Regions from separate parts of the Mus musculus genome. Here regions 1, 2, 3, 4, 6 and 7 are each reported to be linked to region 5. Evidence: microRNA targets listed by miRTarBase, many of them from high-throughput screens and not tested one by one. Region 5 holds a microRNA gene; each other region holds the end of a gene's coding sequence.

The links. Region 5 holds the annotated microRNA mmu-miR-190a-5p (UGAUAUGUUUGAUAUAUUAGGU, at 1,582-1,603, shown strand). A microRNA usually pairs through its seed, bases 2 to 8, with sites in the 3' UTR of a target mRNA and lowers its output. Matches are read on the target gene's strand: a 7mer-m8 pairs with bases 2 to 8, a 7mer-A1 pairs with bases 2 to 7 and ends in A, and an 8mer does both.
Region 1: miRTarBase lists Zfp239 as a target of mmu-miR-190a-5p. Seed matches in the 3' UTR shown: 7mer-A1 at 3,635-3,641.
Region 2: the mRNA of Nsg1 is a reported target of mmu-miR-190a-5p. The part of its 3' UTR that is shown has no 7-base or 8-base seed match.
Region 3: the mRNA of Neurl4 is a reported target of mmu-miR-190a-5p. Seed matches in the 3' UTR shown: 7mer-A1 at 692-698.
Region 4: miRTarBase lists Dnajc14 as a target of mmu-miR-190a-5p. Seed matches in the 3' UTR shown: 7mer-A1 at 1,035-1,041 and 7mer-m8 at 1,339-1,345.
Region 6: the mRNA of Actn4 is a reported target of mmu-miR-190a-5p. The part of its 3' UTR that is shown has no 7-base or 8-base seed match.
Region 7: miRTarBase lists Scai as a target of mmu-miR-190a-5p. The part of its 3' UTR that is shown has no 7-base or 8-base seed match.

The regions. Positions count from the first base shown.
Region 1 is chr6:117,871,548-117,875,612 of GRCm38, reverse strand. Zfp239 (zinc finger protein 239) reads right to left here. Exons shown (of 4, transcript NM_001001792.2): 4 at 2,847-4,065. The coding sequence ends at 3,705. Among named protein-coding and RNA genes, the nearest start is that of Gm38882, 6.1 kb to the left of the region's middle.
Region 2 is chr5:38,135,119-38,139,183 of GRCm38, forward strand. Nsg1 (neuron specific gene family member 1) reads right to left here. Exons shown (of 5, transcript NM_010942.4): 5 at 2,075-3,754. The coding sequence ends at 3,554. It overlaps Stx18 (syntaxin 18), which reads left to right. Exons shown (of 11, transcript NM_026959.3): 10 at 104-184; 11 at 1,145-2,652. The coding sequence ends at 1,240. Among named protein-coding and RNA genes, the nearest start is that of Nsg1, 23 kb to the right of the region's middle.
Region 3 is chr11:69,912,918-69,916,974 of GRCm38, forward strand. It overlaps Neurl4 (neuralized E3 ubiquitin protein ligase 4), which reads left to right. Exons shown (of 29, transcript NM_001013414.3): 29 at 210-907. The coding sequence ends at 414. It overlaps Gps2 (G protein pathway suppressor 2), which reads left to right and starts at 1,103. Exons shown (of 10, transcript NM_019726.5): 1 at 1,103-1,516; 2 at 1,835-1,944; 3 at 2,016-2,128; 4 at 2,222-2,301; 5 at 2,391-2,473; 6 at 2,714-2,867; 7 at 2,948-3,037; 8 at 3,116-3,195; 9 at 3,281-3,376; 10 at 3,503-3,677. The coding sequence starts at 1,423. The coding sequence ends at 3,586. Eif5a (eukaryotic translation initiation factor 5A) reads right to left here. Exons shown (of 6, transcript NM_181582.4): 6 at 3,795-4,057.
Region 4 is chr10:128,816,759-128,820,823 of GRCm38, forward strand. It overlaps Dnajc14 (DnaJ heat shock protein family (Hsp40) member C14), which reads left to right. Exons shown (of 7, transcript NM_001359825.1): 5 at 1-114; 6 at 200-302; 7 at 443-2,690. The coding sequence ends at 653. Ormdl2 (ORM1-like 2 (S. cerevisiae)) reads right to left here. Exons shown (of 4, transcript NM_024180.6): 2 at 3,503-3,756; 3 at 3,196-3,347; 4 at 1,144-2,257. The coding sequence starts at 3,676. The coding sequence ends at 2,122. Among named protein-coding and RNA genes, the nearest start is that of Ormdl2, 2.8 kb to the right of the region's middle.
Region 5 is chr9:67,234,238-67,238,302 of GRCm38, reverse strand. Mir190a (microRNA 190a) reads left to right here and starts at 1,577; the gene lies at 1,577-1,643. The region is part of intron 53 of Tln2 (talin 2); the gene reads left to right.
Region 6 is chr7:28,890,968-28,895,025 of GRCm38, reverse strand. Actn4 (actinin alpha 4) reads left to right here. Exons shown (of 21, transcript NM_021895.3): 20 at 367-525; 21 at 639-1,778. The coding sequence ends at 797. Capn12 (calpain 12) reads right to left here. Exons shown (of 21, transcript NM_001110807.1): 18 at 4,037-4,058; 19 at 2,291-2,407; 20 at 2,145-2,203; 21 at 1,441-2,064. The coding sequence ends at 2,038. Among named protein-coding and RNA genes, the nearest start is that of Gm44700, 4.0 kb to the right of the region's middle.
Region 7 is chr2:39,071,221-39,075,285 of GRCm38, forward strand. Scai (suppressor of cancer cell invasion) reads right to left here. Exons shown (of 18, transcript NM_178778.3): 18 at 1-3,936. The coding sequence ends at 3,790. Among named protein-coding and RNA genes, the nearest start is that of Gm30067, 6.9 kb to the right of the region's middle.

The DNA.
Region 1 (4,065 bases), not on the chromosome of region 5:
TGCCAGCCCTCTTTTTTGTAATTTATGTATCCCTCCACGTTTTGTAGATAACTGAACTTCTGATCCTCCCTGCCTCTTTCTCTCTGGTTGATTGGGTATAAGAATGCCACACTAAAGCCGCACGCCTTTGATCCCAACACTCAGAAGGCAGAGGCAGGCAGATTTCTGAGTTTGAGTCCAGCCTGGCCTACAAAGTGAGTCCCAGGACAGCCAGGGTTATACAGAGAAACCCTGTCTCAAAAAACCAAAAAACAAAAAAGAAAACAAACAAACAAACAAACAAAAAAGAATGCCTCACTAGGCCATAGCTACATTCTTAGCCTTCTTTATGTAGATTTTTAAAAAAAAGTTCCAGACTTAATTACTGTGTTTGAGTTTGTCCTTTAGAACATAGGTATGGCTGTTTCCTCCTAGGCACACCATTTGTCATCCCTAGATAGGTGAAAGGTGGTGCTTGTTCAGCAATAGAGTGTGACTTGTACAGGGTTCACATGACCTCAGTCACACTAAAGGCTTTTTATAGTTAGTCTTGCTTCCTGTCTCTGTGTGAAGATGAACCAGAGGTCAGCCGCATGGGAGGGACTAAAAGCCTTAGCTTTGTCCTGTCTCTTAATATTTCACTAGATATCAGAGGTGACTTCCCAGGACTAAGTCTGTCATTTTGCACATGGTCTTCTAGCCCATTGATTGCTTTTTCTTTTGATTCTTTTCCTTGACTTCCAGGGTGCCACATGCTCTTTAAGGTCCTTCCTCGTCATACACAGGTCTAACCCTTTCTTCCCATGTCTGAATGGTTGGGTTGTATGGTCTGTTAGCACTTCCTGTCTTGTGTTCACTCTCTGTCTCAGCCTCCTCTCTGAGCAGTGTTCTCATCAGTCCTCCCTGGGGGCCGATCTTTCTTGGTAATCTCTCTAGTTATGCTCCATCCATTCTGTCTGCATATCCTCTTAAATGTTCAGAAGACCTAAACTATGTGATCAAACCTTGTCTGTTGCCCAAGCCTGCCCCTTTCTCTTGTTTAGCATCTCTCCTTCCACCATGTGGGATTGGGAGATTGAACTTGAATTCAGATTGTCACCTGCAGCTGGCTTCACCTCATCTTTGCTCTCACTGTCATGGTGACAGAGGCCAGGCATTTCTGCATGATTCTGAAAGCCTTCTGTTTTTTTGTTTGTTTGTTTGTTTTTGTTTCTGATTTGTTTTTGTTTTAGGTTTTTTTTTTTTTTTTTTTTTTTTTTTTTTTTTCCAGACAGGGTTTCTCTGTGTAGCCCTGGCTGTCCTGGAGCTCACTCTGTAGACCAGGCTGGCCTTGAACTCAGAGATCCACCTGCCTCTGCCTCCCAAGTGCTGGGATTTTTAGGGGCTCTGTGGACTTCTCTGGTTACAAATACTATTTGCTCCTTGCTGAGTATAGCAGAAGACAATGGGTGTCTATAATCCCAGCTGCTTGGAAGGCTGAGGCAGGAGGACTGAAATAGGTGTAAGGCCTTTCCTGCTCTTCACATTGCTCTGACTTTTCAGAAGAGAACTGATATCAGCCATTTTGTGGTTTCTTTCTTTTTTCTTTTAGACACTGATTAACACTTTTAGACAATGTGTTAATCAATGAAGTAAGCCTGACCCACATAGTGAGTGCCTGTGCAATCAGAACACAGTGAAACCGTGCCTAAAAGAAAAAAGAAAAAGCCCACGACTTCTTAGAGTTGACTTTGGGGCAGAGTGAGACATTGGACTCTAGTTCCCCTGTGCTACTTGTTGAAGAGATGTCTTTTTACCAATGATTATTTTGGGGGATCTTTGAAAAAAGCCTGGTAGAGGGACTAGGGAGATGTCTCAGCGGTTAAGAGCACAGTCTGCTCTTCCGAAGGTCCTGAGTTCGGGTCCCAGCAACCACATGATGGCTTACAACCTTCCTTAAAATCCTTAAAGAGATCTGACTCCCAGCCGGGCGTGGTGTCGAAAAATCCAAAAAAAAAAAAAAAAAAAAAAAAAAAAAGAGAGCTGACTCCCTCTTCTGGAATGTCTGAAGATAGCTACAGTGTACTTACATATAATAAATAAATCTTTTTGTTTTTTGTTGGTTTTTTTTGTTTTTGTTTTTGTTTTTGTTTTTTTTTTCGAGACAGGGTTTCTCTGTATAGCCCTAGCTGTCCTGGAACTCACTTTGTAGACTAAGCTGGCCTCCAACTCAGAAATCCGCCTGCCTCTGCCTCCCGAGTGCTGGGATTAAAGGCGTGCTCCAGCACGCCCGGTTTAATAAATAAATATTAAAGGAAAAAAAAAAAAGCCTGGTAGCTGTAGCCTGTAGTCGTGTGGGCTGACATGTTGAAGTGAGTTTTATTTTTTGTTTCATTGATCCACATGGCCACTTTATCAGTCTTAGTATGGTTTCAGAGCCTCTGATTGACAGCCACATGGTTCCCATGTTTTTGACACCTCTGATTGGCTGCCACATATTCTTCACATTTCTGAAGCCTCTAATTGGCTGCCTCATGTTCCCCACGTACTGTTTCTCCTCTTCCACTGGATCATCTATTCTCCGTAGCACCCAATGCTAGGTTTACTCTCCTATTTTGGCTCTGTTGCTTCAGGATTTCTCCATTGTTTTTATCATGGAAGCATCCCCAAGAAACTACCTTCACTCGTTAAAAACTAATTATTTACATTCCTGAACAGCTGCCAGAGAGGAGGGACTGAGTGGACTTTCCACCATAGTAGTATGTGGGGAGCACTTCCTGTAGTGTGAGTGCAAACTGATGCACATTTTTGTACTAAACACAACAGGTCACCATGCCCGTTATACCTCCAGCTCCCCCACCCCACCCTCAAATGAACACATTGGACGGTCACAGTTTAAAGAGAGCTATTTAGGACTTAAATGGAATATGAAAAACAAGGCACATAATTTCAGAGGAAACATGAATTCCAATTTCTCAGAGAATATGAATGAAGGGAACCATGCTGTGCTTGGAAAAATACAGAGTTCTTGCAGTTAAAAAATGTAGAATATAATTCTAACAACACTGGCAGAATTGCATTATACACTCTACCCATATGAGAAACCAGAGTAACCCATTCACTGTATAACATAAAATGTGCTGAGTACTCGGATTGATTTCTTCTGTGAGGGGCTATATCGGAATAACCCTTAACTATTTCTTTCCTTTGAGGAATTCAAACGTAAGAGTTTAAAGTATTAAACTGGAGCCCTGGGACATAGCTTAGGCAGCAAAGCTCTTGTCTAGAAAGCTTGAGACAGAATCCACATAAAAAGGTTGGATGTGGTGGCACACATCCGCAACCCTAGCCACGGTGAGCTGGGAAGTGGAGACAGTTAGATCCATGGGACTCTGGCCTGGCTTACTTGGTGACATTACACACCATGTGTGACAGACAGATGCCTAGTCTCACATACAGAATGTAGTATCTGAGATATCCTCAGACGTCCACACACGTGCGTGCACACATACATGCACACACCAGCACAACACACATACCCCTCTCTGCATGAACACACATTCCTAACATGCACAAAGTATTAATAAGCTGGAAACCGTGTGTGTGTGTGTGTGGGTGGGGGCGTATCAGGGCTCAAACTCAGGGACTGATACATGCTAGGCAAGCATGCTACCTCTGATATGCACACTCGGTCGTGAAAAATATTTATCTTTACAATAAAAGTCTTCTGAGTGGGCTCATGTTACTTAGTGAAGCTCCTTGCGGTGAACCCGCTGGTGGATGTGGAGGTTCGAGCTCTGGCTGAAGCCCTTGCCACACTTGCTGCACTCATACGGCTTCTCACCCGTGTGGACTCTCTGATGGATGAGGAGTTTGGAGCTCTGGCTGAAGCCCTGCCCACACTTGCCGCAGTGGTAGGGCTTTTCCCCGGTGTGTACTCGGAGGTGGATCCGAAGGTCTGAACTCTGGCTGAAGCCTTTCCCACATTCGTAACACTGGTACGGCTTCTCTCCCGTGTGGGTGCACCGGTGGATGTGGAGGTTCGAGCTCTGGCTGAAGCCTTTTCCGCACTCCCCACACTTGTAGGGCCTCTCTCCGGTGTGGACA
Region 2 (4,065 bases), not on the chromosome of region 5:
GGTCACCCTGAAAGCTTTATGCTTCAGACAAGTACTTGTAGAAGAATGTCTTCTTGGTGGAGAAAAGAATGCTTGTCTTCCCTGATATTCTTCTCTTCCACAGGAAACTGAGATCGACAGCATTCACCAGTTAGTCGTGGGGGCAACTGAAAATATTAAGGAAGGCAACGAAGACATCCGAGAGGTGGGTACCTTGTGCTTTCTAGTCTGATGTGGCCCAGCACTGCATCCCAGCAGCCTGAATCCCATTAGTGAGGTTGTCCAAGAATACTGTGTAGTGTTTAGGGTCCACCTTGCAGCTGTAGCCATGGGTTTACTGTCAGGGCCAGCCTCAGAGCATGTGTTCATAACACCTGCGGATTCTCAAGAGAAAGTAGCTTCCATCCCTGCAAGGACAGTGGGTGGGAGAGCACCCAGGTAGGGTCAGGATAATCTGAAACCACGGATGAGTCCACAGAGAGGAGGAGCCCAGAAACTAACTGTGAAGGGCACCTAGCCTTATGAGCCAGCTGTCTCTAAATCCCAGACCTCCTAGTTTTTCCTGTGTCACCACAGACCGGCATCACTGGAACACCCAAGCCCTGGTTCAAATGGGATTGGTCCCTGGGGAATTGAGTCCTGGGAGGTTAGGCTTTGCCCAACAGAAGAGGTTAAGGACAGAGCAAGCAAAATGGCTCAGTGGATAAAAGTGCTTGTTGCCAGGCAAGACTATCTGATTTTAATTTCTGAAGTCCACAGGGTAGAAGCAGAGAATTAATTCTACATTTTCCTCTGACCCTATCCCACATACACGGTGGCATGTATTCCCACCTACCCACCATTGAGATAAATGTAATTTTAAAAATGTCTTGGGAGGCAGAGGCAGGCAGATTTCTGAGTTTGAGGCTAGCCTGGTCTACAGAGTGAGTTCCAGGACAGCCAAGGCTACACAGAGAAACTCTGTCTCGAAAAACCAAAAAAAAAAAAAAAAAAAAAGAAAGAAAAGAAAAAGAAATATAAGGGCTTTGCTCTCTGTCAGTGTCCATGCACAGTGGCTTTTGTGCCTATCTAATGAGAGCATGGGATTCATAGAGGTGTGCTCAGGGCACCTAGGGCTTCTAAACCCAGTCCAGGCTGGTGCTAACGCCTGTGCTCCTCCTGCCAGGCCATCAAAAACAATGCAGGTTTCCGAGTGTGGATCCTCTTCTTCCTCGTGATGTGTTCCTTTTCCTTGCTCTTCCTCGACTGGTATGACAGCTAGCCCACCAGGGCTGAGCCTGCGCCTGCGCCTGTGCCTTGGACGCACCACGTGCCAGCATGTGTCTCATCGGCTGTGGAGCTGTGTAAGGTCCAAGGGCTGGGAAAACACCGCCCCCAAGCCAACCTTTGGAACCTCTCAGGACCTGGAAATACATGGATTGCAAGTGCCCTTCAGGGTGGAAAATAAAAGGCCATCAGGAGCAGCACCTTCAGGACAGGCCACAAGCATGGTGGGGACTGAGCAGAGCAAGGAAATGGCAGGCCTCCTATCTCCATTACAGGCTTGGGGCCCATCTCCTGCCCTTCCCACGCCCGTAGCTTCAGGGGAGAACATGCCTAATGTTGCTAAAGTCATCAGTTCTTATTTCCTTGTGGCATCTAATGTGTGCTGATACATGGCCATTTTGTCATAGACAATAATTCACATCTGCCTTGTCGAGCTAATAAATGCAATTACAGCCACTTATTGCAGTCAGTGAGTCTCCACTGAGCCCCTCTGGCCACCACCTGGCTGGACAGGCAGGCTCTGGGGCCCTCCACTAAGCCTCTCTCCTGACCTGGCTCCCTGTCTTGTTAACATCAAAGCTAGGGCCTAGAGGCACACGAAGCCTCATTTCCTGCCACTGAGTCCCAGATATTTGTGTTCCAAGAAGGGTGTGGACCTCAGAAGAGTGGGCCTTCTGCTCTTGCTCCTGCATACTCGCCCCTCTAGAAGAGGCCACAGGGTTGCCTGTTGAGAACTAGAAGTGTATAGCACATGGCCTACATCTGTGTACAGATGTATCCTGGGTTACACAATTCCTGCGGAAGCACATGAGTACAGACAGTCCAGTGTGCGGCTTAAGTACCCACGAGCTCTTTATTTGTAGAGTAAAAATGAGAAATTACATTGGGAGAGTTCACAGTGGGTAAAGGGCTACGTTAGAAAACACAGAGGGCCTGCCTACTGCACGCACACGGCCCATGAGTCGGATCCCTCTACAGACAAGTTTTGGCACATGTGTATTGCTCTTTGCGCATTCCTCGCAGCTTTCCAATGCACTTCAAGCTCGTGACTGTGTGGCCCCTCCCCCTGTGCTGAGCTCATGCCCTTTGTTTTAGAACACCTCAACAATACATGATGTTGTCTCAGTAGCACACCTCAGGAAGCAGCAGTGGAGCTGATGGTGGCCACCATGCTTGTTCACAAAGGTCTCAGACTATTTGCCATTTATTTCTGACCTACTAAAGGACGCCGAGACTTCTGACATGCCCACCAGAAACAACACATTCTGAGAACATGGAAGAAAACAATCAGGAATAGCTTTTTCTATTTAATTGTCTTACACATTTAGTTTACCTACTGGTGATTTTGTAAACATATACTTTAATGTCAAGATTCAGATTGAAACATAAACATACTTTTCTTACAAAGATTGTGGACTTAGATATTCTATTTGCAAGGTGCCACATCAGCCCCCCCCACCAGCCGTCCTGCCCCTTCCCACAGCACAGGAGTCACATCTGTTCACAGAAGAAAAGCTAAAGTAGCCCTGGCTTACCCAAAATTACATTTCACTTTGCCCACTGGCTAATAAAACAAAACAAAACAAAACAAAAAACCCAAACTGCACCTGCATTCAGGGCTGTACGTGCAAATATATTCATAACAGGAAAGAAAAGAACCAGTGGGCTTTCTTCCTACCTAGCACATTACCAGCAGACAGCCCACCCACAGAGAAACAGGCTCGGCGACCCCCTAGCCCAGAGCCAGCTCTTCCCCACCCCATCCTTGTGCTCTGCTCAGGGGACATACCAAAGAGAACCTCCCAGAATTGCCTGGCAGGGCTGCGTCGTGGTGCCCACGTCCCCTTCTCTGCGCCGCTCAACAGTGCATGTTGACAGTCAGCACTGCCACCAGCAAAAGCACGGGATCACTCTAGATATGGCTATGGAGTAAGGTCTGCAGATAGCAAAGGGGCAGAAAAGAAAACAGGAAACCAGCAGCTGTGCTGTTCTGACGGCCAGACCCCTGGCATAGCCAGTGTAGATTACCTTTTGACAGTATCCAGTGAATCCCAGGGAAGGAGCTAAATGAAGACTCCTCAGCGTGGACAGTGGCATCCAGCTCTCTAAGCAATGCTGAGATGCTCTTGTTCTTACGCCTGTGGGTGGTCCGCAGCAAGTTTAATTTGCAAAGCAGCATTAGCAAACAGAAGCAATTGCACCGTAAATGAGTAATCTCTAAATTATCGGTAATTATATTTAATGAAATGTCCCTCAAAGTCCCCTTGTTGCCTTCAAGTGACACATCGTAAGGAACCTGCCCTGCTCGCTAAGCTGACTTCTCTGCAGCTTCGGTCTCCTGTTCCGACAGCTTCTCTTCTGACAGAACTGACATCCATGGCGACACGGAGCGGGTGATGCTCTGCTTGGCCACGTTGTAGTGGTTTATGACAGTGTAAAATTTCTCCCGGGCACTGGAGTCTTGCTCCGTGTAGTAGCTCTCCAAGCCTTCTGGGATGCACTGGGTGTTCTGTAAGACAAGAGGCCGTGGAGATGGCAGTAGTTACAAAGGCATGCCAGCGTGTTCCTGCAGTTACTGTCCCCCAGTAGCTCCTCAGCCTCTCCCCTGAGCTTGCAAGAAGAGACACTAGCATGGACAGAGGGATGGGGCCTGCCCTCAGAGGGACAGCTGTGTAGAAGATGGGCTCCCAGGATAGGGGGAGCAGGCGGTGTGCCTCCCTTCACACTCATCTATTCGAAGCAAGGACACTTTGGACACACCTACAGACAATCTAACTAAAGTAAGAGGAAGAACACTGAGGAAGGCTTGCTTGAGTGAGA
Region 3 (4,057 bases), not on the chromosome of region 5:
CCAGGGTAAATAAACACATGAAGAGTGCTGGGGAGGAGTTAGCTGAGCAGGCCAGGGGAGGAGAGTACTACATACACAATAGTTGGTGCTAAGCCAGTCACGGTGAACAGTATTTCCCAGAAAACAGCAAGGCCTGGGTGGAGGGGGCAGAATTAGCAGTCATGGACCTTGGGAGCCTTACTCTTCTCTCGTTTCTGCTTGGCTAACAGATTCCGGGACCCAAAATCCCAGCGGACACACCAGGCTCAGGTGGCCTTTCAGGTGTGTGTGCGCCCTGGCTCCTATACTCCTGGCCCTCCCTCTGCGGCCCTCAGAGAACTTCCTGACCAGCACTTCAGCCCATCGGAACTTGAGTGGGTCACTAAGGAGAAGGGAGCCACACTCCTCTATGCCCTGCTGGTACGAGTGGAATAAGGGGTGACATACCACTACTCCAAGCACAGCCGGGCCTCAAGCCCAGGACTCTTGAATGACGACTGCCTCCACCTCATTCCCGTGACTGAGAGCATGTCCAGTGCTGTCCTGGCAAGGAGGAGCACGTAGGCAGGCTTTGATTTAGAGCAGGTGTGAAGCACATCTCTACATTCAGGGCCCAGCACACTCCCTCTGCTGAGAGGGAGCCCAGCTCGTCTCGGGGTCCCCCCTTCATGCACTGACTTGGGGAACATGACTCCCTATTATTACCCTCCCCCATATCACTTAATTTATTTCCGTTTTTGTTTCTGGTTACTGTGAATCCCAAAGGAGTCTCTCTGTGCCCACATGAAGCTGCTTTTTCCGTGGCCACTGGGCGCCATGGGGAGGGAGTGGGTAAAAGGAAGGGCTGCCCGAGGACGCTGTGGGCCTCTGTACAGTTGTTACTGACTCTGATTTCTAAGGAGCCAATAAATACTGTCTTCAGAGCATCTGCCTCCGCCTCTGTCTCCCGCGGCCTCGCGAGTGAAGAGTTCTAGGGGCTTTATCATCCCAGGCCGCTCTGTAAATCCACATGGAGTTTGGACATCCCGGCACCCGTCTCTAAGCGCTTCCGCCTTCCCTTTCCTCCAATCGGCTGTGCCGTTTGCCGTCGTGACTCCGGAAGGATTTATCCTGGCCGCCGGATATGACGTAGAGGCCAAGGCGCGCCGAAGGCCTCGGAGAAAGCGCCGACAAGGCGGGTTGCGGGGGTTGGCGCCAGGGCTACGAGGGAGGGGCGGGGGCGCGGAGCCTAAGACCCTCGCACGCGCCCCGGCGCTGAGGCAGAGACCCCGGAGGGACGCTGGTGCCCGGGACACGTGATCGAAGTGGCGAGCGGGCGGCGGACGGGCTTCCGCTTCGGCGCGTCGCAGTCTCTCTAAGCTCCCACTTCCCTGCAGGCCCCGCCTGAGGTCTGGCAGTCAGTGAGAGTCGGGTGCCCACTGCCCAAGCGTCACCAACAGCATCATGCCCGCACTCCTGGAGCGCCCCAAGCTTTCCAACGCTATGGCCAGGGCTCTGCACCGGCACATCATGATGGAGCGGGAGCGCAAACGGCAGGGTGAGCCTGGGCCAGAGCGGGAGGACAGACACTCGGCTCAGGGTGGCCCTGCTACCCACGAACTTGCCCCCATCCACGGGCCCAGCTGTGCGCCTGCTGGCGAGGCTAAGAGGGAGGCAGCGGCGCCTTCGGGGTGTGAGTGAAGAGGCCCAGTCTAAGTTCCAGACCAGAACCCTGGGCTGGGAAGGACCTTGGAGAGCACCTAATGAAGCCAAGTTCTCCCTGTGGCTGTGATGGAGTAACTGGTTTTTGCTGGTCTTCAGTCTAACGCTCAGCTTATTCACACCGCCTTGCCACTTCCCCGTTCTGATTCTTCAGAGGAGGAAGAGGTGGACAAGATGATGGAACAGAAGATGAAAGAAGAGCAGGAGAGAAGAAAGAAAAAGGAAATGGAAGAGAGAATGTCACTAGAGGAGACCAAGGAACAGGTAAGTAGCCTCTCCACACTTGTTTCTCGATGCCTTCTTTTCCCTGCTTTAGCTGCTCGTCCCTCTTCCAGATCCTGAAGCTGCAGGAGAAGCTTTCTGCTCTACAGGAGGAGAAGCACCAGCTTTTCTTGCAGCTCAAGAAAGTTTTGCATGAGGAAGAAAAACGGAGGCGAAAGGAACAGAGGTGTGATGAGATGGCTAAAAGTAAAATTGTGCAGTGGCACAGGTGACAATCTAATAGCAAGAGGCTAACTGACCTGTCTTCCTTCCACTCCAGTGACTTAACCACTCTGACATCAGCTGCATACCAGCAGAGCCTGACGGTTCATACAGGAACCCACCTCCTCAGCATGCAGGGTGAGAGGACTGAGGAAACCGCCTAACAGGGGAGTTCTCCAGGAGGTCGCTGCCTATTTTAGCATCGTGAAACCTCTCCCCCTTTCTAGGGAGCCCTGGAGGACACAATCGCCCAGGTACTCTGATGGCAGCTGACAGAGCCAAGCAGATGTTTGGACCACAAGTGCTTACGGTGAGGGAAAGGTTTTTTGATTTTTTTTAACTCTTCAGGCTGGCTTTTTAAGTTACTAGCCAAGACTAGTCTTGAAATCTGATCCTAACTCCATGTCTCCTCCTTCTGTGGATCAGTACTGTTAATCCCAATCATTCAAGAACAAATATACCAAGCATGTGTATGTAGGAGCTGAGCGTAAAGGCATATATATATACATATGGGGTTTTTCCTAAGCAGTGAGCTTTCATTTCCCCTTAGACCCGGCACTACGTGGGATCAGCAGCTGCTTTTGCAGGAACCCCAGAACATGGACAATTCCAAGGCAGTCCAGGGGGTGCTTATGGGACTGCTCAGCCCCCACCTCATTATGGGCCAACACAACCAGCCTATAGTCCTAGCCAGCAGCTCAGAGGTGAGTGTTGTTCTCCTCAGACTAGGGGCAAGAAGAGCAAGAGCATCAAACCCTAACAGATCATCTCCCACCTTCCTCAGCCCCATCAGCATTTCCTGCAGTGCAGTACCTATCTCAGCCACAGCCACAACCCTATGCAGTGCATGGCCACTTTCAGCCCACTCAGACAGGTGAGATCCCCCTGGGCAGGAGCCCTACCTTCAGGAGTCCTACTGCCACCTGCTCATTTCAAACTCTCCTCCCCTCAGGGTTCCTCCAGCCCGGCAGTACCCTCTCTTTGCAGAAACAGATGGAGCATGCCAACCAGCAGACCAGCTTCTCGGACTCAGTGAGTATGGAGTCCTGGGAGGCCAAGGTGCTAAGATGAGGGGAGCCCCAGGATGCCTCCCTTTAAGGTCAGCTTTGTCTCCTAGTCTTCTCTGCGGCCCATGCACCCCCAAGCTCTGCATCCAGCCCCTGGACTCCTGGCTTCCCCCCAGCTTCCCGTACAGATACAAGCAGCAGGGAAGGTAAGGCTGGCAATCAAACCTACATATACTACCAGGGAAAGACTAACCTCTTACTGTAACTGTCCCCTCCCCCTTGTGCTGAGTGCTGGAATACCTACCCACTGATAAAACTCTTATCATTACCAGTCAGGCTTTGCCACCACCAGCCAACCTGGCCCCCGACTCCCTTTCATCCAACACAGCCAGAACCCAAGATTCTATCACAAGTAACCACCAGAGAGCTCCAGCCCACCCTCCATCCCTCAGGCTGGGGTCTTATGTGCCCCAAACCAATAAAATGTACAAAATGTACCCACCATCATGCCTGAGTGCTGTTTATTTGCTTCCTATCCAACTGCCTAAACCACAAAGGCTACTATGAAGTCTCAGCATTTCTAGATTCTAAAAGTACCTTTCAATCAACAAATAAACAACTGAGTTGGGGGCTTCATATTAAACTTGTAGTTTTATTCAGGTTTGATTTTTAACAAATGTGTCAGGGAGAGAGCCCACAGGAAAGGGTAAAGCCCGTGGGGGCAAGGCCTTCCCAGATGCCTGAGGAGGGATCGTGTCCCCTCCCCCCCTCCTCTTCTCACCACCCCTACAGGGGTTTGGGAAGAGACACAGGCAGGGAAGGGGCTGGTCCCCAGTCTGTACAGTGGTGCTTGGGGGTGAAGGACTATGGAGAACAGGGGACCAGAT
Region 4 (4,065 bases), not on the chromosome of region 5:
AGTGTAACAGGCTGCATCCTGCTGAGGAAGGAGACTTTTGGGCAGAGTCGAGCATGCTGGGCCTCAAGATCACTTACTTTGCGCTGATGGATGGAAAGGTGTATGACATCACAGGTACACTTCTGACCTCCAAATACAAGATCTTATTTCATCTCATTTGCTATGAATTAATGTTTTGGGTAATTATCTCTGTTTGCAGAGTGGGCTGGATGCCAGCGTGTGGGTATCTCCCCAGATACTCACAGAGTTCCTTACCACATCTCATTTGGTTCTCGGGTACCCGGCACCAGTGGCCGGCAGAGGTAGGTGATACTTTCACACCTACTATGTCAGTTGTATGGTTTCAGATGCCTTGTTTTCTAGGAAGTTTGGGCACTGACTCTCGGTGTGTAGTTAATTTTGGAAGCCGACTATAATGTCTTCTGCCTCTTTTCTCCCTCAGGGCCACTCCAGAGTCCCCTCCTGCTGACCTGCAGGATTTCTTGAGCCGGATCTTTCAAGTACCTCCGGGGCCGATGTCCAATGGGAACTTCTTTGCCGCACCTCACCCTGGCCCTGGGACCACTTCGACCTCTAGGCCCAACAGTTCAGTACCCAAGGGAGAAGCCAAACCTAAACGGCGGAAGAAAGTGAGGCGGCCCTTTCAACGATGACACCCCTTCTCTTCCTTCCTCAAATCAATGTCAGGGAGTCAAAAGGGCTGTGTACAGCACAGGATGGAATTTGATTTATTTTAAAATACTTTAAAAAGGGAAACATTTTAAATTGTTCACTCAGTACTTAGAGGAAGCCCATGACCTCTTCTCCCTCTTCCCCAACACCCAGGAACTGAATCTTGTTTTCTGACAATACCAAAGAAATAGGAGGTGGTCAGAGCAAAGAACTTAGGGGCTGGACCTAGTCCAGACAGTATGCTTCTGAGGTGTGGGAACTGGGGATTTCTCTGGGGTCTGTATGCCTTTATCTTATCATCTGCTCTTAAGAGCAGATGAAACACACCCCCTTTTAAATGAGTGTATCTTATTTCTTAAACCCATATCAGGGGTTCCCCTCCCCCCTTTACCCTGATATACTAGCTAAAAGAAAAAGCATGTAGCCCTAATTTTGGAGACACAGAACTCAAGAGTGGAAACTGATTTTTTTCCTCTGACTTTCACTTTATTGGTAAGACACCTAACTTCAGGCTTGTTGTTGCAAGGATGGCCAAAATTAATTAATTTTTAAAAAGCAGATTTATGCCCTGTGCCCTTGGGTGAGGGGGAAGGATAGAGGGGTTCCCAGAGGCCCCCTTGTTAGCCAAGGGTTTGTATTTTTTTAAGTTTGTTCATATTTGTATGTACATATCTATTTAAAGCCAGGAGATTATCTTTCTATAAATATATAACTGGCAACTTACATCTTCCTTCTCTTCTTTACCCATGTAGCTGGGAGTCCTTTTCTATTTTCTTTTGGAGATAAGAGTCTTACTGTGTAGACCAGGCTGGACTCCAGATTGCAGTGATTCTCCTGCCTCTGCCTCCACTTCCTGAGGGCTAGCTAGTATTATAGGCATGTGCCTCCACTACTCACTTGTGAGCTCTTTTTTCTTATTTGAGAATTCTTTCCTTGCTGTTAGCTGTGAGTGAAAGGTATTGGACCAAAGGAGTAGAGACAAAATTTTGCTTAAAAGTTTTTTTTATAGTAAGTCAGCATTTTGCATTTTCTCCCCAGCATTATGAGAAAATCTCTCTGTCCTTGCTTATCAAATTTCAGCCATAACTGAAAGACTTTATTTTAAGAAAAATATACAGCAAAACAGAACTTGAAGTTGGTAGGTTTAGAAGATATGGAAAAACATAATCACCAGAAAAGCTGCCCAAACAATGATGGCTTCTTGCTAGATAGAGGAGAGTGAGTGGTAGTGCCCTTAACCTCATCCACCTTTCCTGATTCAGAGAATCTTGACCCTATGAAGACTGGACCCAGGAACCCCATTTTCCAGTTTCTTCCTTCTTGGAGTTTAGATAGGTTTATCTTATCTCTCAGGCTTCCAAGATACAGAAGATAGTGTGGAGAAGGGAAAACATTATATATTAGTTCCAGTGCCTTCCCTCAATGCCTGCAGAACTAGCAAACCATCTTTTAGTATTTGTTGATTCCAAAGAGACGAACCCCATGGAACTGGGGTAGCTTAGGCAGCAGCACGCTGAGCAGCGAGGCAGTGTTGATGAGGAAGTGAGCAGCATCGTACTTGGTGTAGAAGCTGGCCAGGAGGTAACTAGGAGAAAAGAATTAGGATGATGGAGGTTGGCCTCCCAAATCACATTCATGCCTTACCAGTGACTTTTCTATTTTGAACTACTAGTTTTATTGCATGTAGTCCAACAACTATTTCAGCTAATCAATGGTATTTAATGAGGTTCAGGATATAATCAGAAGGCATCTTTAACTAGAGATGATAAATCAGTTTGTTTGTTAATGGTTAATGATAAACTGCAAATGACAGCCAAAGCTGTTTCAGCATATATGACTTTTGGAGCCCTTTTTGCTTCCTTTCTCCAAGTCAGTTTTACTTTTTAACCATTAATATACATTCTGCCTTTACCTTCTTGCTTTCTTTTGGGACTGTAAAATCACTTGGCTTTAGTTAGGAGTTTGGTTTATTTTCAGTCCCTTCTCCCTTTCCTTAATACCATGGAACCAGCAAGGAATGCTTGACTATGTCTTGTACTTTATAATGTAGGCTTAGGACTAGAGTGTGTGTGTGTGTGTGTGTGTGTGTGTGTGTGTAAACATAGGTACATGTTCAAGGGTTAGTACACATGGAGACCAGAGTTCAACATGAGTTGTCATGAATTGCTCTCTACTTTCTTTTCTTTTCTTTTCTTTTCTTTCTTTCTTTTTTTTTTTTTTTTTTTTTTTTTTTTTTTTTTTGGCCAGGGTTGCTTTCTGACTCTGGAGTGCAGCAATTTGGCTAAACTGTCTGGCCAGCGAGCCCTAGGGATCTTCCTGCCTCTGACTCTTCAGTGCTGGGATTATAGGCACTCATGGTTGTACATGGCCACATCTGGCTTTTACATATGTGCAAGGGATTGAACTCAAGTCCTTATCCTTTATGGCAAGCACTTGACTAAACCATTTCCCCAACCCCTAGTACCTTTTCCCTGGTTAGTAGAGCCATTTCCAACCCAGCATCTCCTTCACACCCAGACTCACAGTACAATAGGAGAGATGCTGAGGAACTTTCGCGAGGAGGTAAACTGTAGTCCATAGTCCATCTGCTCCCAATGTGTCAAAAGCCGAGCCTTTCCTTGGTCAGGGGTCTCAAAGGGCGTCCCTTTGACTGTATGTAGGAAGATATACATTGCCTGGGAAGAGGGAAAGGGACAGTATAAGGGGTAGGAAGTAGTCCTTTGGGTCAAGATCCCAAAAGGAAGACATAAATCCCCGAACAGCTGGTGACTTTGTTTTGTTTTGGTTGGGATAGACCTGGGTTGGGTACAGGGTTTGGTTTAGTGCTCACCAAGTTATGGATGACGTTGGTCAGGGTCCAGACAACAGGAATGCTGAAGAAAGGGATGCTGAGGAGAACCACATGCAGCAGTCCTACCAAGATGATGTAGGCCAGCCAGATGCCCCGACTGTTCATCACTCGAGTGTTGGGGTTTACTTCGCTGTGTGCCACCCCCACATTCATCCTACCACAGTGAGGGATCAGGCAGGAGTCCAACTCAGTCTCCTCATTAGCCCTGATTGAGCTTGTTCCCCAGCTGTCTCCTGAAAAGCCAAAATCCCCTGAAGTCTTGGGAATGAAAGAATTTCCCTACCATGCAAAAAAAGGAAAAACTGAACACTTTGTTAAAACTTGAGAAGAGGTGAAGCAGCTGGGTGTGGTGGCTCATGCTTGTAATCCCTGAATTTAGGAGGTTGAGGCATGAGAACTGTTTGACCTTTCTCCAAAACAAACAAAAAGGCAAGAGGGTCTTCGAAATGACTAAGGTGGAAAAGGTATTTGTCACCATGCCTAAAGACCTGAGTTGGATCCCCAGGACCCATGCAGTGGAAGGTGATAACCAACTCCGGAAA
Region 5 (4,065 bases):
ACAGGGCTACCGTAAATACAAGACACGGTCCAGACCAGTCTCCTAAGTATTTTATCTGGTCCTCACCACTGTCAGACCGTGTGATTGAGTGGGGAGGGAACATAGAGCTGGGGTCCCAGTTTCTGAACACTGTACTCCCTCTGATACCCCATTGGCAGAGAAAATGATTCCCGTCCCTCAGGACCACTGCACTTTATAGTGTCTTAGGCTGTTAGACTTGTCTCCAGTTCCTTTCCTAAGGAAAAAAACCCAGACTTGTGTGAGAGGGATGTTCTAGAAGCTTGGTTGGTAGCAGTAAGAAGTTGGGGTCTTCTTGAAGGGAAATGATGAGGCTGTTACAGTAATGAAGAGTAATGGTTGCCAGACTGTACAGCGTGAAGATGCTTATGGAATGAGTAAAATGGGGAGAAATGATAACACCTAGGCATCCATGGTTAGTGCTTATGTCACAAAGCTGGGAACTAACGGAGATGATCAGCAAAGAACAGCTAAGACTTGAAATGGGACCAGGGAACGGCAGGCTCTGTGTTTTACAGTTCTGGAAAACAATGTTTGAAAACCACACACATTGAAAATGAGGGGGGCTGGAGAGAGGGCTCAGCGGTTAAGAGCACTGACTGCTCTCCCAGAGGTCCCGAGTTCAATTCCCAACAACCACATGGTGGCTCACAACCATCTGTGATGGGATCCGATGCCCTCTTCTGGTGTGTCTGAAGAGAGTGCCAGTGTACTCACTTAAAATAAATAAGTAAATCTTAAGAAAAGAAAATGAGGGATGGTTGCCGGAGGCGGCCTGTGTGGACCCCTTATGTGTACACTGCTAGGCATTATCCATGAAAGTGTCTCAAAGCAGCTTATCATCCCAAAGCATGTAGCCCCGGGCTTGCAAGGAGGGCCGTCCACCGTGGGAAACTTCTTGCACAATGCATAACATCCTCCTGACAGTTACAAAAGAACTTTTCCTCGGCTTAAAAGAAAAAAAATTACCGAAACAGCAAAACCAGCTAATATTTGAGGTTACTTTTCTCCATCCTGTCCTGTAACCTTAAAGACAAAAATCCTCAGGGTGCCATAAATGGCAGCTGCTCCTGCATACTTGCCATAGTGACTGTGGCCACCCACCCCCATACCACGTGAATGAGGTTATCCTCCACCCAGGCAGAGCACCTGTGCTGCTTGGAGGACTAGTTTGGGGAGGGAGGGAGGGAGGGTGATGACTTCCAGCTGTTTTGATTACCTGGTTCTCAGGTTACCTGTTTTAAAAGGAGACTAGTCTGTGGCATGTGAAGATGGTTCTGGTGTAGTTCCACCCTTGGGCCCTGACCATGGAAGCACCTCCCTTTACCTGTAATCTCTCAGACGTGAGTGACAGACAGGTGCACAGACTCCCTTTTCATTTGGGGAAAGGAGCCCAGGCTCAGAGTGTGTGCCACCAGCATTGTTGCTAATGGCATCCTTGCCACACCTACAGACACGCCTGTGTTCCAAGGCAGGCTGGGAGATACTGCAGAGGTGACTGACTCCCACAGCCATATTCTCAAGCTCAGTCAAACCTGGATGCCTTTTCTGCAGGCCTCTGTGTGATATGTTTGATATATTAGGTTGTTATTTAATCCAACTATATATCAAGCATATTCCTACAGTGTCTTGCCCTGTCTCCGGGGGTCCTAACAAAGTTTAGAAGCAACAGGAAAAAATATATTAAAAAATCACAAGTAGGTTTAGATGACAGAGTGCGTATGTTGTTATGTTTCATTCCATTTCTTCGTGTAGCCTTTAAGACCTGTGTCTTAGTTACCTTTCTGTTGCTGTGACAGGATGCCCCAACCAAAAGCAACTTAAGGCAAAAGGGTGTATTATGGCTTAGTTTATCAGGGGCCAGACCATCAAAGAGGGAAGGCCGGCAGTCAGGAAGTAGAGAGATAGGACAGCAGATGGAGCCAGGCCATAAAACCTCAAAGGCCAGTATGTCCTTCAGCAAGGCTTTGTGAATTCCTAAAGCTTCCATAGCCAAATGGCACTGCCAGCTGAAGACCAAATGTTCAGACACACTAACTTATTATGGATGGGGGATGCTTTGTTTCAGACCACAACAAACTGTATCAATACTACTACATTATCTGTTTGTTGTGGAAAGGGAGTATAGCTCCTGAAGGCTTAAGATATTTTCTAAAGTTTAGTTGAATGCAATTAGGAGTCCTTAAGAAAAGTATTCAGTGGAAAAAGATGGAAGATAACAACCCGTGTCTTTGATATAGGACAAAGGTTAGGATTGTAACTGGCAAACACATTGATCTAGATATTTCTTCCTGACAACTCTCAACACACTCTCACAGATTAAATTTTGTAATTGTTTTCCATGCCAAAAAAAAAATCGGGACATTTATTATCTCTAACTTTCCGCTTCTGGTAACAAATCTAAACCCTGGTGACTGTGCTCACTTTACGGATGGTGAGCCCGTAAACCTTAATTGCAGACCTTAATTTGGATCAGATATGTCTGATGAAGAGAACATGCTCGGGACTGTGCTCTGTCGGTTGAGTTTTCTGTTGTAGGTGAACTTCTGCACAGAGGTTGTTAATATTTAGAAGAACCCGGCAGTCCGAAAGTAAACAAATACTCTAATTGGCTGCCGCAGGAAGTTGGGCTATGACCCAGAAAGCATTCTTTCGGGTATATATCAGCCTCTCTGGCTGCTTTGACTTCTTCCCATAAATGAGTCCGTGAACTGTATGTGAGTTTACTCTGAGCTGTCTAGCACAGAGACTATATAAGTACTTTTCCTGGAAATAGCATGGCTATGCTCCCAGGCCTTGTTGGTTTTACCTTAGGAGGAAACAACTCTTGATGGCACTCCTAACTGTGGATGAGCAAGACCTCTTACCCTACAGGGGCAGGAGAGTAGTTTGACGGGGGTCGTCAGAAAAGGAACTTGGGAATATGTAGAAGCCACCATTGGTGAACGAGTAGTTTTTTTAAGCATCGCTCTAAAAGGTCTTTCGGATGAAGACACTTGCCAGAAGTGGTGAGATTTGGGATGGGGGGTAACTCTGCTGCTGTCTGGCATTCCCATGTGGCTGATTCATATTCTGAGTGGGAGTGGGAACGGGCACACAGGTGTTCTGTGACATGGGAAAGCAAACATGTTTTCTGCATGGCTAAGCTACAGGCTTGGAGCTCACATGCCAGACCTTGGTCCCAGACAAGCAGAGAGTGTATTGCCAGGTGGTTCTCTACCAGGACCTTGTTAGGTCCTTAGATGCATAGAAGGCTCATACCAGAGATTCCTAAGATGAACCAAACTGTATCTCATTGAATAATGGAAAGGCTTCTATTGTCCATACTTCCTATATCAAGGTCCAAGTGACCCCTTCTTCCCCTTTTTGAGAGTATGACAGAATTCTAAAGAATTTATTTTCATCAGAGACTAATTATAAGATCAACTCAGTGGTATTACTTTTTATATTGAATATAAGTTACAAAAAATGTAATAAAGCAATTGTATTATATGGGGAAAAACTATTCCCAAGATACTAACTGTGCAGGCTTGGGGCTTTTCCAATGGATGCTACATGAACCTATTCCTTTATTATCTATCTGGATGTGAAGGTGGTGCGTATCCAGCTACTAACATGACTTGCTCAGCAGTGGTTTCTCTGTGTCACCCTGAGCTTCCCCTGAGACCAGGCCTCTGTGAAGGGTACCAGCTGTTCTGGGAGATTTGCCTTTTGTTAGCTTTATTAAGGATGAAGGAGGTCTTAGAGCCAGCCAACCCACTGGTCCTTCAGAGCACAAGTTGATGTAGCCATGGTATGCTTTGGCCAAGACTTTCTCCCCAAAGCATCTCTCAAGTCAAAACCAGAAGCTAGGCAGGAGCAGCCAGGTTCTGCACAAGAAAGGAAAACATGGCCACCTGTTCCACTCAAGCATCCAACTGTCAGGAAAAGACCTCCTGCACGTTGTGGGAGTCCTAGGTATTGGCCCCCGTTTTTCCCTTGAGGACATTTAACTTACATATAACACATTTACACTTTTAAAAAACTCCACTGGACTTCTGACTTCTG
Region 6 (4,058 bases), not on the chromosome of region 5:
CCTCCAACTCCAGTGCAACATAGCCTTGCCTGCCTCCGCTGCTCTGCTGCACTCGAGGCTGGGGTCCTTCCAGTGGACACCCTCCACCCCACCCCCGAAAAACCAACCTCTTCCTGCAAGTATCCAGGGAACAGTCTTCCAGCTCTCTCCCTTCTCTTTCTGTTTCTCATTTTCTTTCCCCACCCACCAAAGCTGGGAAAGTGAACCTCACCCCCTGCTCCCCCAGACTTGGGGGGAGGAGGCCAAGGGACAAACTCCCAAGGCTGGCACTATTTGGCAGCATTTCTGTCTTTGAATTCTTCCAAAACTGAATCTGTAAGCAGCTCCACTAAGTACTATGTCCTCTCCCTTTCCCCCTCCCCACAGGGTGATGCTGAGTTCAACCGGATCATGAGTGTGGTTGATCCCAACCATAGTGGCCTCGTGACCTTCCAAGCCTTCATTGACTTCATGTCAAGGGAGACCACAGACACAGACACAGCTGATCAGGTCATCGCCTCCTTCAAGGTCCTGGCAGGAGACAAGGTAAGCACGACCCACAGAAGCATTGGCGGCCGGTAGCCAAAACTTGAGCCAGCACTGGGTACTAGGTCAAGTGGGTAAGACACAGTGGCTCAGAGTCCTGTTTATGCCCCTAGAACTTCATCACTGCTGAGGAACTGCGGAGAGAGCTGCCCCCCGACCAGGCCGAGTACTGCATCGCCCGCATGGCACCCTACCAGGGGCCTGATGCTGCTCCTGGCGCCCTTGACTACAAGTCCTTCTCCACAGCCCTCTATGGGGAGAGCGACCTGTGAGGCCCTTGGCCACCCTGAACAGAGACTCCCTTGGCCTCCCGGAGGGGCTGAGGAGCCCTGCCCCCACCCTGACTCTGTATCTATGCAAAGAGCTCTTTGTGGTCCTTCTAGGGGGTCAGGCAGGGAGGGGCTAGGCAGGCCTCTCTTTCTCAGTCTTGTAGGGGAGGGAGGCTTGGCAATCAGCATTTCTGGTCTGCTAAATATATACGCTGTGCTGTGGGTTCTTAGCCGATTGGAGGGGACAACGGACTCCTGTGCCCCAGAGATACCTTCCTATCCCAGGTCCCCTCTGCCCCTGAGGCCCCTTCAAAGCCTCTCACATCTAGGCCAAAGCCCCATGTGCCTTGTCCAGGAACCGCCTGCCCTAAGAAGTCCAGCAGAGGGCACCCAGCTCCCCTGGACCAGATTCCAGTGGCTCCTCCCAGGAGCAGAGGACCTGCCATAGCCCTTCTCTGCCTCAGGAGTGGCTGCGGGGCAATCAGCCCCAGCCCACCTGGCCTCTGAGTCTCAGATTTTCTAAGGACCAAAACCAACAAAACACAAAGAATGGAACAGAAACAAACAAAAAAATCATTTAAAAAAAAAAAAAGGAAAAAAAAAACTTAAAAAAAAAAAGAAAACTTTAAAAACTTAAGACCTTCCAGAGAATTACTATTTACTTTATTAACTTACGGATTTATTATATAAATATATATCCATCTAGCTGCATATCTCTGCCACCTCTCTCACTCTCATAATGAAGACATAGCTGATTCAATGCCCTCCCCAGTCCCTCCTGATTTTCCCCTCGTGGCGGTGGGCAGAGGTCTCTGGGGACCTTCTGAGGTGGAGGCAGGCTGCTGGCCTGCCTGCCTGGTCGTTAATGGGTTTCTCTCCACTCGCCCCCTTGAGTTTATTCTGATTGATTTTTATTTTCTTGGTTTCTGGATAAACCACCCTCTGGGGATGGGAGAATAAAACATGTAATATTTTTAAGAAGGACTCTGGTGTCATCTTCTCCCTGCATCTCTGTTCATGCCCCAAGGAGCTGGCAGTGCCCACCAGCCCAGTGCCTGTGTGGGGGTTGTGCCCCTCTCTAAGCAGGGACTGACATGAAGAGGCTTCAAAAGGAAGGGTGGCAGTTCTGTTTGGGATGGCTCCAGCTCGTAATCCCAGCACTTGTGAGGCCGGCCAGGGTTACATAGCCACCACCTTTGTGACAGTGAGTCGGGCAGCAGGGTGACCTCCCTCAGCTTCAAACCTATGAGAAGGTAGCCACCTCCGACCACTGAAGAGAAAAGAAAGATACCCTTGAGGCAGAGGCCCTGGGATGGTGCTAGAGCCACACTGTCCCTCGGGCCAGCTCACCTGTTTGTGGGTCAGGCAGACGACCCCCTCGCCGCCATCCAGGTGTTGGCAGCAGTGGCCTGTGTGGGAGAGGCCAGGGTGAGTACGCAGCACCAGCCCTGATGCACACCCCACCACACCCTACCCTGCCTGCCAGGAGTACTCACGGAAGATGCAGGTGAGCCGGGCTGCACAGCACACGAAGCGCTCGAAGTCCACACGGAGCCGGCTGTCCCGGTAGCGGCTAGTGAGGGACTGGGTCAGCTGGTTGTTGAGGTGGAAGCCTACGAGGAGGCCGCCTTGTTTATTGTGTTTACAGTATCCACGTGTGGTGCTGCTTATTTTAGTGTTGGGGGTGGGCACACGTACATGGGGAGCGTCTTCCTCAGTCCTTTCTCTACTGAGGCCGAGGCTCACCGAGATCACTTGCCCTTCACGTGGGTGCTGGGGATCTGAACTCTGGCCCTCACACTGGAGTTGCAAGTAAAAGTTCCTTACCTACGCAGCATTCCTGTGTGCTGTTTGAAAGAAGCTGTCCTCTAACTCCTACATAGCCAAGGACTGTCACCAGCTCCTGAGGCCCCTGCCCCTCCTCGGGTGCCAAGAGTTCAGCCTGTGGTTTATGTGGTACTCGATCTAGAACTCAGGGCCTCCAGCACGCTTGAGGAGCACTCTCCAACTGATGTGGGCCTTTTGTGGCTGTTTTGGAGTGTTGGGGGTGGAACCCCGGGGCCCTTGCATAGGCCAAGCAAATGCTCTCTCCGTTGAGCTACAACCCCAGCCCTCTGGGAAGTTAGTGTGACACTTAAGTTGCTTAGGCTGCTTCTCAAGGTGCCAACAGGTGCAGCTTTGTGATTGCGCCTTCAGAGGTTGACGGACTATCTCCCCGACTGGGTACCACTGTGTGACTCTTCCTCTGAGGCCGCACCTAAAGTCTAGACATTGGCTCTGTCACATCTGCTGTAGAATCACAATGCAATGGATTTCTAGAAGCCCTAAGGCCCAAGGACTTGTCCCTCCCAGCTTCCATGAGCCCCATACAGTCTCAAAGATAACTGTACAAGTTTGTATTGTACCTTTGTGTGCTCATTCAACAGATGCTGCCCCTCCCACCCCCACGAACACCAGGCACACCATGCCCAGAGCTAGGTGGCCTGAGGCAGGTCGGTGTCCCTCTGATGTCCATGTACCCTGAGTATTGGTCTATGCTGGCCCAGGGCTGAAGGGAAACCTGGCTAGATGGCAGTAGTTCCTGACCCAGGAGCCCTCTGTCAACCTCTTAGAATTGCTGAAGATTCCCAGGCAAACATTATTATCAGACTCCTATCCAAAACAACCAGGCACTCTGGGATGAATGGATGGATGATCGAGTAAGTTCCCGACCTCCCCTCTGTCCTGTGTCCACTGCTTTAGTTCAGCACCCTGGCCCCCACCTTGGACTCTGCCTTGGGATCTTGTCTTCCATGTTCTTGGCCACTATTCTAGGTCTCATACTTGTAGTCTCTCATCTCTCACTAGCCTACGTGCCGCCCCCTGCCTGCCTGCCCCGGCTCCTACTTAGTGGTCACAGATGAACCCATGGAGGCATGGAGCTGACGGTCTTCTGAAATCACGATAATCCCACCCTAACATACATTTCTCCATGGCTTAGGATGGGATTTTCATCCTCTGTTGTATAACTCCGTAGCCTCATAAGGTGCTTTAGGGTATCTGGGGTGTTCTGTGGCATCTTGTGGGCTCCTTGCCATACTACACATTAGCCATGCCACAGATAAGCAGTCAGAGCCTCCAGGGAAGGAAATGGGCTCTGGCACTTGTGGACAGCCTATTAGGGATGGCCACAGCTGAGGGATGCAGACAAGAATTTGAGGATGGGTTGCTGTCCCTACAGCATCCCAGGTCCTCAGCCACACCTGCAGCAGTCAGTGCCAGCCT
Region 7 (4,065 bases), not on the chromosome of region 5:
GCAGTGGCCAAGTATGCAGACATTGGCACCTTAATGCATCTCCAGTCCAGAACATTCTCTTGTTATTGAGGTGATTATAAGTCTCCACGGATAAGTGAGACTTTTCAACTAGGTTGAAACCCCACCTCAGACATAGACAGAGACTGAACTTGGAGAAGAATGCTTCAGAAGGACCTGTGTCTGATTCGGAAGTCTGAGCTGGACTTCTTCCTTGACACTAATGAAATTCAGTATCATTACCTATTTAAGGGAATTCTATTACATGATGGAGGAGAAGAAACAAAACCAAACTCTAAACCCAGACCTCGAGTCAGGAAAACCTCAAATAACAAATTACACTTCAATTCCCAAACTGTGAAACATTTTAACTTTGTTAAAAAGTATAAAGGGCACAATAAATTCTGTGCTTTGAAAGTTTTTGAGAGCACCGCTTCCTAGGAGGGATATACTTACAAAGAATATATACTGCCTAAAATCAAAGAAAAAAAATCTGATTTTATAATTAATAAAAAATGCTAGTGGTGGCTGATTCACTGGCGAGAATATTCATTATACTGGGATTTAACCACAGAGCCTTGCAGATGCTAGGCAAGCACTCTATGACTGAGCCTTATCTTGACTGGTTTGAATTTCCAAAACAGAACAAAATCCTAATTTTTATGTTAAGATTATACAGCTCTAAAAATTTCCCTCCTGTTTATTACAGAAAGAAGTTTAAGCAACTGGGCTGAGATGAGCTCGTGTTTGTTATGTCTATCACCAAATAACCAGTAGCTTCTGACATCTCAGCTTGCTTCCTATAAGACAGGGAAGGTTTAGTATCAGAAATACATGGATACAGAAAGAAAATCCTGTTGTGCTTCACTTTGCTTTGTGCATAACCAGTCTCTTACAGTCTGATTCTTCCTAGTTTGTTTATAGTGATTCTTAAGACACCAGAAACTTTATCAGAATCTACAGAGAAATTTGTGCAATTTGAGTACAAAAATGTTGCTCCCTTGGCTTTGCTTTTTTTAGTCTTACTATTTAAGTTTTTAAAAATTCTAAGATTAAATGGAGCTTAAAATAGGCAAATCTATTTTTGCAAAAGGGTCTCATACTGTAGTGCAGGCTGGTCTAGAGCTTACTCTGTATAGCTAAGGATGGCCTTGAACTCCTGATGCTCTTGCTATACCTCTAAGTACCAGGGATGGAAACCAGGGATATACGCATGCTAGGCAAGGTTCTAATACTAAGCCCGATCTTAATCCTCAAGGCAAAGATTTTTAAGTCTCCTCTGCTTACATTTCAATGCCATTAAAAAAATAATGTGGTATGTGTGACGTATGTTTGTTTTTATTTTTTAAGGCAAAGATTTTTTTTTTAAAGTTTCAAATTCCCTACTCCAGTTTTGCTTTCAAAAGATTTCAGATCTCTTAACAATTGTTTTTGAGGTGGACTTTTGCTATATAATCTAGATTAGCTCTGACCTTGCAACCTTCCTGCCTTAGCCTCTTATGCACTGGGATTAAAGGCATGCACCACCATACCCAGCTCAAAATTGGTTCTATTGTTTTCTTTCTTAAAAATATATTTTTTTCCCCTAGTGATGAAGACCAAACACAGGATTTCTGAATACTAGCTAAATGCTCTACCAAGAAGCTACAACCACAGCTTTGGTCCATTTTATATCTTTAACCACGAGTTAGGAACTGTATTTCTATTAGTTTAAGAACCCATGTTATAATCTAGTTTTACACTGGCATCTGCAACATACATTTTTTTTCTGACCATGGAAGGTCTAATTTCTCCAGGAAAGTCTCTTTAAGCAAGTCTCAAAACAGCAAAGTATGACCTAGGATTTTTTGGTTTGTTTTGAACCACCTTAGTAAACACGATATAGAAAGGATATTATAGTGCTAAAACCACACAAATCAACTTTTTTGGAAGCAATGGGGAGGAAATCAACACTTTTGGAACAAATGTTCCAAACTGTAGAATCACAAACAGGAATAGGATCTTAACCGAGTCGCTCTATTTTATATGGAAGAGTGCTAAAAAACAGATTATTTGTCTGTCAAAGGATATCATGCTCATTACTAGAAAAGCCAGGATTAGAACTCAGACCTCTTGCTTTTGAAACAACTGGTCCTTAGGCTTAGCAAAAAAGAATAAAACACTGGTCAAGGCCACTTTAGATGTCAGGGAACAGGAAAGTATGCATTGTTGGTCAGTACTTAAGGGAACTGGAACAGAGGCCAGACTACTAAGGAATATTTACTGCTACATTCCAGGAGGAAAGTTTATAAAAGGAAAATCATGATTTGCAAACAAATGGAAGTAGGCCTTTTAAAAAGGAAAAACCTCTATCTGGAAGGGCTCTTTCCAGATTAACCTTTTTCTAAGCTTTTAAAAATACTGTCTGAAAGAACATACAAACAATTTTAAAAGCAAATGAAACTTCCTAAGTCCCTGACCCAACCATGACCTGGACTTCACAAAGTAAGTGCACTGGAGCAGATATGGCCACAACTTACACCCACGTGATGCTCTAGTGAGAGTTAACTGGGTTAAAATACCATATCAAAAATTTCCTTAGGGCCACAGGAAAGAGGTACTGAAAACAACCACCTCATTTCTCTAGGACTGTCAGGGGTAGACACAGGCAGAAGACCCTACAATTCACAGATTTCTGAATTTAAATGCCATGCAACCAAAAGATGCCAGGAAGGAAGAACCTTCACAGCTAGGACCTTTGAGATTACCAAGGAGATGGAGGGAAGGATGTACAAAACGTTTATATTACATATTGAGTCCTATTTAAAATAACAAAACTTGTGCATGAATATAAAATAACAAAACACAGGGAGTTTTAATATCTTCCAAATTGTTAAAGCAAAATTAACTCACGATTTACTTCCTTAACACCCAGTTATCCTCAACTCACACAGAGTCTCTCTAACATCCATGCCTTGGAAACTTGAATATGAAAAAAGATTAGAAAAACTGTGCAGCGGATATACCAAGGAATCCATTACAACACTGTTTAAAACCAACCAACGAAGAATCTGTGTAGAGATCCAACTATGAAACCAATGACTTGATTTTTGGCTGAAATACTTAAAAGTATTTTCCTTTGCATTTTTAGCATTCATAGACCACAAAGAAAAGTAAATATGCAAACAAATCATAATAGTACTCATATTCTAAATATCTGTCATCTTAAAGTTCCTATTTAAAATTTAATTTCCAGATGCAAACAATTCTAAATAGGTTCTAAAAATTTAACATCATTTAATGAAATTCAGAGATCTCAAGACATCAGTTTGTACATCAGAGAGTAACTTATGTCCTACCGATTAGTGTGAAGTGAAAAGCAACTCCACAGAAGGGCTCTGCTCTTGACTTTCATGTGGCCAGTTTCACCTCTATGAACAATTAGGTATTTCCCAAATCCAGACACTTCCAGGTCCAAGTTTAACTTATGGATTGTCCTCATTATGGAAAAATAAACAATATATGTTCTTCTTAAGGTGACAACAGTAACTATTTGAATGTGGGGGTAGATGTTGGAGGTAAGTATCTAATGCCAAGACCAAAAAAATAAAAATTTCAAGATTGAGAATTTAAAAGACTTGAAAGATTATATTTTAAAAGTTACCCTAAAAGTTTGAACTTTTTTCAGTTTGCTTTTAAAATGGTGTTTCCTAAATCCAAAAATAAAAACCAAGTAACACACTATGTCATTACATTAAAAAATTGCACCATTTAAAATCTGTGGAAAATGAAAAACTGTTAAACAAGAGGGTTTTAATAGTCATCCATAGAATTCTCAAAGAAGATGTTTCGAACATCCAGAATGGAGGCCAATTCCAAAATGTGCTTCTGAAGGTGAGGATTCTCTACGGTTTCATCCCTTGGCAGTTGTGGATAGGATTCTGGGTAATTTCGCGTTTCCTGGTAAATAAGGAAAGTCAGGTTCACAGAGTGCTGCGAGGAAATTACTTGGCTTAACAGTATTAAATGTTAAGTTAAATGTTTATTTTCTTCTCTTACCAGTTATTATTACTAGTATATTTATTTATT